3 linked regions of the Caenorhabditis elegans genome follow. The protein of the gene in region 2 purifies or fractionates together with the protein of the main gene of each other region. This does not show direct contact. Each region holds a gene or a part of one and is shown on either strand. Other genes may lie near its edges. The genes, in order: suox-1, F41G3.6 and trx-4.

What was found.
Region 1: the proteins of F41G3.6 (region 2) and suox-1 fractionate together in Caenorhabditis elegans (co-fractionation; one large-scale study listed by BioGRID). This does not show direct contact.
Region 3: the proteins of F41G3.6 (region 2) and trx-4 fractionate together in Caenorhabditis elegans (co-fractionation; one large-scale study listed by BioGRID). This does not show direct contact.

Annotation. Positions count from the first base shown.
Region 1 is NC_003284.9:15,495,925-15,499,680, reverse strand, and holds the start of suox-1 (sulfite oxidase), read right to left. Parts: upstream 2,127-3,756; 5' UTR 2,126-2,126; coding exon 2,014-2,125; intron 1,967-2,013; coding exon 1,770-1,966; intron 1,340-1,769; coding exon 1,160-1,339; intron 1,075-1,159; coding exon of another isoform or gene 1,027-1,074; exon of another isoform or gene 951-1,026; coding exon 789-950; intron 734-788; coding exon 509-733; intron 462-508; coding exon 251-461; intron 180-250; coding exon 89-179; intron 46-88; coding exon 1-45. Other genes in the region: gob-1 (Trehalose-phosphatase), read right to left, coding at 2,738-2,887, 3,467-3,609, 3,656-3,756.
Region 2 is NC_003280.10:6,741,015-6,744,770, reverse strand, and holds F41G3.6 (DUF2013 domain-containing protein), read right to left. Parts: upstream 1,858-3,756; 5' UTR 1,852-1,857; coding exon 1,821-1,851; intron 1,775-1,820; coding exon 1,622-1,774; intron 1,578-1,621; coding exon 1,433-1,577; intron 1,389-1,432; coding exon 1,249-1,388; intron 1,199-1,248; coding exon 1,061-1,198; intron 1,008-1,060; coding exon 865-1,007; intron 819-864; coding exon 678-818; 3' UTR 504-677; downstream 1-503. Other genes in the region: ins-15 (INSulin related), read left to right, coding at 41-148, 196-432; exos-8 (Ribosomal RNA-processing protein 43), read right to left, coding at 2,009-2,074, 2,125-2,454, 2,505-2,681, 2,727-2,870, 2,919-3,035; T14B4.1 (tRNA/rRNA methyltransferase SpoU type domain-containing protein), read right to left, coding at 3,375-3,548, 3,599-3,756.
Region 3 is NC_003279.8:3,317,457-3,320,719, forward strand, and holds trx-4 (Thioredoxin), read right to left. Parts: upstream 1,129-3,263; 5' UTR 1,120-1,128; coding exon 1,028-1,119; intron 831-1,027; coding exon 599-830; 3' UTR 522-598; downstream 1-521. Other genes in the region: cdap-2 (SH3 domain-containing protein), read right to left, coding at 2,397-2,566.

The sequences.
Region 1 (3,756 bases), on a different chromosome or scaffold from region 2:
TTCCACTTCAGCTCGTCACCAATGTTGACAGCTGGGGAGAATGCTCTGAAATTGGATGGTTTGTAGGTTCTGGAGATTTATTACTAACCTATAATCTTTTTGCTGCCAATGACTATCACTTTCCTTCTCACTAACAATAATTTTTCTGAGCCATTTCACTTGTCGAGCACCAACATTACCTGAATGACTTCTTTTATTAACGATTATCAGAAAAAATTTTTTAAATAAAAGTATGTTAAAACCGTTGTACCTGGCACAATGACCCGCAGAGGAGCTCCGTGATCCCTCGGAATATCAACTCCATTCATGTGATAAGCGACAATGACTTCATCTCCACGAGCCTTTTCAATGGGAATTGATGCTCCGTAGGGTGTTCCAGTCGGATCAACATCTGCTCCTTCAAAGTGGACGTGCTTGATCTTGTCGTCGAAAACGTCGATTCCTGCGTCAGCGAGAAGATCCTTGAATTTTATTAATTAATATCTCATATTTTAAAATTCAAATTTACTCTCAAGCGAACTCCAGTCCATTCGGCATTACTGATTGCAGTTCCTTCCCACATCAGTCCTTGAACTTTCTTATACTGATTCATATCGGCTCTTCTATTTCCAGCACATTGAATCACACTTCCAATTGTATATGACTTGTACTTCTTCTTGAGCTCCTCTACAGACAAATCCACTGTTTTTCCTTTGATGGTTTCCACAGTCAATCGATGGTTTTCAGTTTTGATCTAAAAAAAAATCCAGCGTAAAACTTCACTACACACACAACCCCTTTTCACATACATCAGGAACCGGAAGATGATTTCGTACAAAGAACAGTTCATTGGGTGTGTAGAAGTGGTCGGTAAGCAGGGAAGGAGGGGTTTCGGCATTGAAGGGCTTCGAGTTACGCACGAGTAAAGCTGGATGACGTTCCGGATCATTGGAGAATGCGTCAGCGACTGGCTGTAAAACAAACACAAACATAGGTGAGATAAGAGGATAAATTGATCAATATTTTGGGTGCGTTTGTACCCGGACCCTAATTAAAATCAACCAAACTCACATTACTTAAATCTTCAAAATCAATCTAAACAAAAAAATTTGTTACCAGAATTTCATAAATCACACAATAAAGGATTGTATGCCACCTCTTTTCTACTCCATGAACTTACTTTCGGAACATCTTTTACATCAAGTTTGCCAATTCGATATCCTTCGAGAATCTCGAGAACCTCTTTTGTCTTGTGCTGTGAGTAGAGAGCCCAAAATGGGTCGACAGCTGCACCGGCGGCAAGCAGAATTTTGTCACCTCCCGGATGCATGGCAATGAAATCTGTGACATCATAGACACCCTGTAAAAATAAGAAAACTATTAATTCCAGTTTATAAACAAGCATCAATTTGGAAATACGCATATATGTAGTTTGAAATGTTCTAAGCGTTCGAAAAAAGTCCTTAAAAACCTGTAACCAAGTCACAAAACTACATTTTGTCCAGTCAGCCAAAACTGGACAGTTGAATAATTGAAATTAGGGCTCCCATGTGGGTGCCGCTTTCACGCCGCAATTCAAATTTTCAAAGCGATGCGCGGAACCCACAAAATGTCGGACGCGGAGTTTGCACCAAACAGTGGCATAGAGTATGACACTATTTGTAGCAAAGTTGACTCCACGTCCGACGCTTTTTGGGTTCCGCGCATCGCTATAAAGGTTTCGGATTGTGGCGTGAGAGGGGTGTTTTCGGGGACGACATAAGAGTCCTAATTGAAAATAATCAACTTACATCTTTGTACGTAACCCAAATCCTGTCTGCGTCTTTTCCATGTTTCTTGACCTCCTCCTGCTTGTATATCTGAAGATTCTCCAATTTCTTCTCTGACATCGTCTCATCTTTGGCGTGATCAAGCTTTGCAGTTTTCACAAAGTGTTTGAATCCGAGCACTCCAGCAGTTGCGGCTCCTCCAATATATGCATACTTGTCTAAACATTAGTTAATAGATTTTCAAGTTTTCGTGGTAGATCCCTACAATAAGAGTGATTTTCATTAGTCCTCTGATGTTCTGAAGTGGCGCCCGAAAGTTTGTTGAACTGACGCCGGTGTCTAAAAAACCGATTGAAAGATGTGCCCCGGCCAAGCATTCTGAAAAAATTTGCAAAATCTTTGAAACTTATTAGTTTAAAATATCAAGATTGCCGAAAAACAAACAATACTTTGAAAAATAAAATATCTTTTTTAGAAATTGAATTTTGAAAAAAAATTGAAACAAAAAAAACTACGAAGTTCACAAACACATTGAAAAGTGGACTGAATCAGGGGGGAAAAAGAAAGCAAAACCCGACTAGTTTTATTAAACAATTATTCGAATATGAGGAATTTTTGGTGAATGAGGGTACAATAAAAACATGCTAATAAAACCGATTTCTATAAAACAATAACTGAATTATTTGGTATTTTTACAGTTCTAATCAATTGAAGTTTGAGGGAAGAACGAAAAATGGAATATCAGAAAAAAAAAACGTCACGTGGCAGAAACTGAGAAGAGGAACAGTGAGAGAGAGCAGAGGTCGTAGAGAAAACGAGAGAGAGAGACAGGTTTCGTCGCCTTTGCTGACCATTGACCAGCGGTCATTGATTGCAAGTTACGATGGGTGGTTGAACATTTGAGAAACAACAAGTTGTCGTTGTTCTCTACCTCTCTACCACTCTAATATTTAATAGTTAATGGTTGGGAAACAATCCAATTTCATTTTTCATCCAGAGAACTCTGAAATAATTTGGGCGAACGCAGCGTGAGCAACATCTGGTGAAGAGATGAAGCAGACTCGTTTGGCGTCTCCAACAATATTTGTGATGTTCTCTTGAAGCTGCTTGTTGATATTGACAAACAAGGCTCGAACGTTCTGGAAAAAATAAGTTTTCAAGAAATTTATCTGATGTGTTTAGCATTTTAGCATTATTTCAAATACAAGTTTAATTTAATAAGAGAAATGTTTACTAGCGTGTCTACGAGGTTATTCCAGCTCACGCGGCTCACGTGGAGTCAGGCTCTCCCATCACAATTTTATCTACTAAAAAGTGCGGGATTTTTTTTTGCCAAAAAATGTGACGTCATCATGTTCTAAACAATGTAAAATCAGAGTTGAGAACTCTGCGTCTTAAAACCCGCGTTTTTCGTAGATCTAAGTAGATCAAACCGAATTGGGACATTATGACACCACGTGCAAGCTATTAAGAAGCTATCAGTTCATGAAAATGCCTACTTCGCAAAAATAGCGATAGCACAGAGAACATGCGATGACCAGTGGTTTAGGTGCCTTCGCAACGAGATATTCCCGCGCCAAAACGGTAGGCATTCTCGCGATCTTATGATTTCTTAATATGTATGATGTTGTCCACTGTTGTTTTATTGATAGCGAAAAATATTCAAAAGTATGCTAATAGTGGTTCAATTGACATACTATCTCAATTCAAAATCTTACCTCTGGATTCTCGTCTGCTGCTTTTTTCAACATCGGAACATCACTCGCGGTGTCCCCTGCGACACAAACTTTTCCAACCTTCAACGAGTCGTGGAGTGATTCCACTAAAGCAGCAACTCCATCTCCCTTGTTCCAAACAGCTCCTGTAATTCGAAAATCATCATCATAAATTTCAAAATTGAGCATTACCTGACGAATGAACGCATACTTCAATTTCTAACGGTGAACAATTTTCTAATACTAAATATTGACTGTTGGGATCAACTCGATGGATTCGTTCACGAACTGCA
Region 2 (3,756 bases):
TTTTCTTGCCCAAAAACAAATGTAAATTAATTTTCAGATAATGAAGCTTCTTCCTCTCATTGTGGTTTTTGCTCTTTTGGCAGTCATATCAGAATCATATTCTGGAAATGACTTCCAACCTCGTGACAATAAACATCATTCCTATCGTGTGAGTCATTCTGAATAAGTTGCATTTTTGTAAATGAATAATTTCAGTCATGTGGGGAATCGTTGAGCCGACGAGTTGCATTTCTGTGTAATGGTGGAGCTATTCAAACAGAAATACTAAGAGCTCTGGATTGTTGTTCCACTGGTTGTACGGACAAACAGATCTTTTCTTGGTGTGATTTTCGTAAGTTAACAAGGAAGGAGAAACAGAATTATTCAGGTTTAATTTTCAGAAATTTGAACAGGACACAAATAGTTTCTTTTCTACTTTGCCATGTTGAATAAAAACATTGTTTCATAACATTTTCCCATTCTTTCATTAACATTGGCTAGCCCACTCAGAATTCAGAACTTTTCACAGAAATTTATTTCAAATTGGCAATAGCAGTAAAATGCGCAATGATAACTGGCAAAATAGTCATGGGATTATGAGTGAATGGATGAAAAGGATACCGTTCAAAATATAGCACACGAAATGATTGAAAGCCGGATGGGAGAAATAAGTACATAAATAATATGAAATTAGTGCCCTATCTTTTAAGATTGAACACCTCATTGACCAAATTGCTGAGCTCATCTTTCTGGTGCAATTCTGGAACTTGTTCGTGCGCGTCAGACGTCAAATCGAGAATGATCATTTTCACTTGCTTGCAGTACATTTGATCGCCCAGCTACAAAAAATATTATTGTTGATCAAGAATTTAAGTTATAATATACCTTAAACTCTGGAAGATTAGCGACAACTTCAGATCTCTGGCATAAACACATCAGAATTTCAACTGTCAGTCTCATTACAAGTGGCTCATCCTCTGTGATGCTCCACAGCGTGCGAACAGCGTCCGCCATTGTTGCAATGTCGTCTGGAGCGAAAATACAAAAACTTTAATGATGAATTCTTAACATTATATCTTACTTGAAAGTTGGAAGAAAATTGCAGCGAGAGCATCGATTAAATCATAACGTGATCCCGACGAATAGATACGACGAACAAATTTCTGGGCATCTGGAGATGCGGCGACTTCGTCAGAATCACTGAAGACGCGAAGAATAGCTGAAATTAGTTTTGATTTTGGAAATCTACAAGTGATAAAACAATATTACCAAACAGGACATTGGCTCTCTCATCGATTGAAAGTTGGTCCAGGGAGCATTGTGAGAGATATCGTAGCAAAAGACAGGTCTGTGTGATTCCGACACCTGTGTTCCAGTCGCCACCTCGAGGATCAGTTGGGAGAGTGGGTCTGTAACTTAGAAACTGCGAAGTTTATACTTAAATTATTCTTACTTGTCGCGAATGGAAACCGCCTCTCCTCGTGGGACCAGTTGTGATGGATGGCACCGAATTGCTGTTCCGAGCCAGGCAATAATATCATCATGTGTCACTTCTAGAGACAGCTCTCCGGCAAGTCGAACCATCGTTGTGTACATAGCTGAGAATGTATTTTTTAACTTAATTTCAATGAAATAATATTACCAATTGCAAGATCATTATCCGGGTGACAGAGAAGCCACATTCCGACGTGACTATCGGAATCAAGTTCGAGATTTGCTTCTTTTCTCTTCTTGTGTTCTTCGTCTCGAGCTTGTTGATAAACCATGATGTCCCTGCTCTCTGTGAAGAGTCCCTCTGCAATAAAAAAACTTTGAATCTAAAAACTTCATATCAAACGCACTGTTTCTATTGAAAGTTCCAAAGTATCGCATTTCGATCTGAAATGGAGAATTAAAATTTGAAAAAAATGCCAAAAAATGAGATACGATTCGATCGAACGAATTGGTGGATCCAAACAATATGAAAATCGATCGAGAAACAACAATTTATAACAGAAAACATATTTAAACGAGCAACAAAATTAAATAATCAAACAACGTTTTGAAGAGACTCCACGAATTTGTGTCGGCGTTCGGCGGTAATTTGACACATTTTCTGAATATGAATTAAGTTAGTGATCGTAAAACTACATAACAATAAAATACCTTTAAAAGGGAGAAAGAAGAAAACTGTCCTCGTTCACGAACCATAACCATGTGATCATCTTTTCCAACAATTACAGAACAAGTTGCTCGACACACTGATATTGCTTCTAATGTTGGAGACAAGAGGAGAACTTCAGACTTTTTGTCTGAATTAACGTCAACGAAAATACCGAATGAACAGCACATCAAAGGTTCTTCGAGCGTCAATCGATGCATTGTTCGGTAATCTGCTTGAATTTGTGTTTTTTCAATTGTCGATTCGTCGCCCTCGGAATGGTTTAATACAATCGACGGGAGCTTTGCATCTACAAGAGCGGCACCGAGAGCGCACTGAAAAATTTTAAAATTATGTTTAAAAAAACAAAATCTTTTGTAAATACCACAGCTGCATCCAAAAAGTTTCCCTCGAGACTGAGCACTTTAACAATGATATGAAGTTGCCATTCCAGAGGCAAAGGTTTGCCACAGACATCCAAACATCGCAAATTTTCGCGTCGAACGAAACAATTATTTGTGAATAACGAAAGCAAGACACTGTTGCAGTCCTCTGCGTCTTTCTATAATTTATATGAATACAAGTAAATAAATGTTCAGTAGCTAACCTCTGATAGCTGCTGAGAACCTTCAATTTTGATATCCACCAGGGGTGCATCACTAACGAGTGAAACTGAAGCTTGAATTGAACACGAAACAGTCACTCCTTGGGTACTGACGACAGATGAACCAACACCGCCACATTCTCCTTGCTGAAAAATTGAAAAGTTTACATAGAATTGAATCGTGAGAAAAATTACCTTAAAAACAAGTTTTTGTTCATCAAGAAGACCACGTCCGTCAGGATAGACTCCTTCTTTGATAAAAGTTGCAAAGTATCCACGTGGATCAATGCCTCGAAGTACTTCTGATGACATTGTTGATTAGCCAATTCTTCTTATTTTACCGGCAAAATCAACGCGCTGCAAAAAACAAATTCTTTATAAGAAATAAAGTTAGGTGTGCACTAGGGCGAGTTTGCTTGGGAGACCTCGCAACAATTTTCGCAGACACCGGAGAATTGAATCCACAAAATCTCCGATCGTAGAACGGCAAAAAATAAGAGTTTCTTTTTTCTTGGAGAAATATATGGTGAAAACTCAACGCTTTTTATTTTTATTCAACACACCATCTAATTATTATTAATTTTATTGTTCAAGAACGAGCAAAAAAGAAAGTTAACAACAAAAACAACAACTTTAACAAGGGAAGTTTATTTAATTTTTATCAAATCTGACTTGTTCGGCAAATTTAGCAATCATAAGCGCCGCCGTGACGTGCACATTCAAACTTCGAGTATGCCCAACTTGTTTGATTTCCACAGTTTGATCAACTGCGCGTAGTAGATTCACCGGAACTCCTTCTTTTTCATCGCCCATAACAATCACAGCCTGAAAATAAAACATTATTTATTCGTTTTTCTTAAAATACAGCTTAATACCTTCTTTGGGAATACAAAATCATGCATCATCACACTATCAGTCGTCTGTTCAGCTGCGATCACTGTGTATCCGTTGGCTCGAAGATTTTGAAGATATGGGAGCAAGTTTGTTCGTTTAACCCCTTCGATTTTCTGCCAATTCTCTGAGCTCATGCTCA
Region 3 (3,263 bases), on a different chromosome or scaffold from region 2:
GTGCTACAGTAGTCATTTAAAGAATTACTGTAGTTTTCGCTTCGAAATATTTTGCTCGTCAAAAGCATATGTTGAAAAGAAAGACGCATTCTCAGAGTTTTCCGTTTCCGTAATATGAAATAACCAACAAATACCTATTAAAAGAAAAAGAAAACTCGACAATTCCAAAAAATTAAAAAATACATTTCGCGCGGCGAGACCCAATATGTTTGCTGGATTTCTTTCATAACTTTACTTGCTTCTGTATGCGCCTTTGAGGTAACGGCAGTTCTCTTTTGAAAATTGGGATGAGCTTGGGCACAATTCAATATTTAACCGATTTTGTGAGAAAAAAAACAATTCTCGATATTTAAGAGATATATACGAAGAAAATTCCTTTTTGAAAAAAAAATGCGAAAAGCTCAAAGTCAGTCGACTGCAATGTCAACCGGATGTCGTGGGTCCGCCAGTCATACCTTTTCGGAGTTCAGGCCGAAAACATCAATGACGTAATAATACATGTTTTCAAAAAATAAATAATTCAAATAATACTGTTTATTCGTTCAGAACTCTTAATCTTCAGAGAAAATATAATGTAAGATGTTTAAAAGTGTGAAAATCATTGAAGAGCTGCCTTGACCATTTCCTCGAACTTTGTATTGTTCGCTCCACTGAACTGATCCTTCTTGATTCCGTCGACAATCAGAAGGAAGGTGGGCATCGAGTTGATCTCATATTCTTCACCGACACCGTCACACTCGTCCACATCAATTTTAAGGATCGATAGGCGATCCTTGTGCTCGGCGGCCAGCTCCTCCACACGTGGCTTGATCATTTGGCACGGACCGCACCTGGAATCGTGTATTTTGAGAATTTAATTTCATGAAAGTTTTAATTTGAAACTGTAAAAGGCATTTTTTAGAATTTACGTTTCTATCAAAAACTCAAGTTTCGAAATCCAAACTATCCTGATGAAAGGCTTCAAATAGTCGTGGCCTAGAAATTTCGATTAAGAAAATTCTCAGCCATGTGCATAAATCCAACCTACCATGAAGCCGTGAAAAATAGAATCACTGGCTGGGTTTTCTTCTCGGCAAAAATTGTCTTGAATTCGTCATCGTCCTTGATTGCGATAGACATTTCGGTTATCTGAAATAAAAAAAAAATAATTTGGAATTTTTTAATTTTAAATTCGTCTTTTGCTCAATACGCATTCGCAGAATTTTAGCGTTCGCGTAATAATTCCCGGAAACTCTATACTATTAGAGACTACAATTTAACAGTTAGTATTAAAAAATATTCGGTTTGGTTTCAGAATTTAGAAATATTTAAAATTCACCGCAAGAAAACATTAACGGTTAATGTAGAAGTTCAATTAATTGAAAAACATTGCAAAAATTTGAATAAAATTTACGTTAATCAACACATAATAATAAAAATAAAAATCACAATAACATTTATAGTATGTGTGTGTGTGGCCGAGAAGAAATGAAATAAAGAAACAATAAACCATTATAAAAAATTTTTAAAAACGGGTGACCAAGAGATACATCTTTAGGTCCTGCTGACTGGCCAAATGTGGGGGAGAGGAGTGGGGGAAGAGAAGAACGCCGTTTTGAGCAACAATGTGTGAAAAAAAAGAAAAAGCGAGAAAATGAAGCGGATGTGAAATACTTGGTCTCGACGCGACAAATTTTTTCAAGAGGATGTGCGCCTTTAAACATGATGCAGCGACTCGAAAAAAAGTGTAATTTTTGAAGAATTTATATTTACAATTTTTCTAGATTTTTTTCTCACAATCAATTTTACGACGCAATTTTCAATTACCAAATTATTTTTGAATTCCCCGAATTTTTTGATTTGAAACACAAAATTTCAGACCTTTTTTTCGGAAAAAATCGACTTTTAAGCCGAAAAAACGTCTGAAAATTCGAAAAATTGTGTTTCAAATCAAATATCCGAGAAAATATGAAGAAAACCCATTCAAATTTGTTTGCAAGGGGATTTAAAAATAATTCGAATTTTTGCCTTAAAATTGCAAAAATAAACATTAAAAATTTAGAAAAATTCTAAAAATTTTACAAGTGAATTTGATATTTTGGGGCTGTTTTCTAGCATTTCTGGCAAAATTTGAAACAAAAATTTGTCGCGTCGAGACTCCGTGGTACTGTAATTTTAGCACAAAAAATCGCAAAAATTGTATAATATTTGGAGCAATGATAAGTGAATCAATACAAACGAATCGGGGGTGTGGGTTGAATGAGAATTTCCAAAAAAAAAAACAAAGGATCACAGGACAATTTGATACTCTCTCTTTATATGCTTCGAGAATCTATATTGCACTGGGTGAATGGGGAAGAGAGAGAAGAGATGGGGGGCACAATTTACACGAATAATTGGATGAATGAGGAAAATGGCTAGAATCGAATCTTTTCAATGGCGAGAACTCGTGATTCCAGAGCACGGAATCTATCGAGAAGGGCATCGTATTCGGCACGGCTGACATAGTCTGATGGCGGAAGATTTGGCGATTTTTGACTATCTGGAGATGCCAATTTTCTGATTGCAGAGGTGGAGGAAGTGGAATCTGGAAGATGGACGATTTTTGTAATTTTTGGCAATTTGCCGGAATTGAAAATTTTCGGCAAATCGACTAATTCCCGGATTTGAGAATCTCCGGCATATAGATAAATTGCCGGAATTGAAAATTTCCGGCAATTTGCCAAAACAGAAAATTTTCGACTTCCGGCAAATCGGCAAAATTGCCGGAATTGACAACTTCCGGCAAATCGGCAAATTACCGGAGTTGAAAATTTCCGGCAACTCGACTAATTGCCGGAATTGTCAACTTCCGGTAAATCGGCAAATTGCCGGATTTGAGAATTTCCGGCAATTTGCCGAAACGGAAAATTTCCGGAAATTCGAAAAAATACTTGAAAAAAATTTTCATTTGGAATTAAAAAAAGATTTTTTACTGAATTATTTTCATTTTTATTGTATTTTTCTCATTTTTCGAGTTTTTTTTTGCATTGAATTTATGAATTATTTAGTTGTAAAATTAGATTTTAAGAAGTTTTAACTTTTTAAAAAATGTTAATATATTTTCTTTTTTTTTGCATTTTTTTTTTGGAGAAATATTTATTTTTTTTTAGGAATTTCTCTAGGAATTTTAAAAAGTACTTTTTAATATTTTTAAAAACAAAATTCCAAATTTTTTGCAATTTTTTTAATTATACCCTTTTTTAAATAATTTTCACAGGACTTAAAACATTTTTATTTTTTCA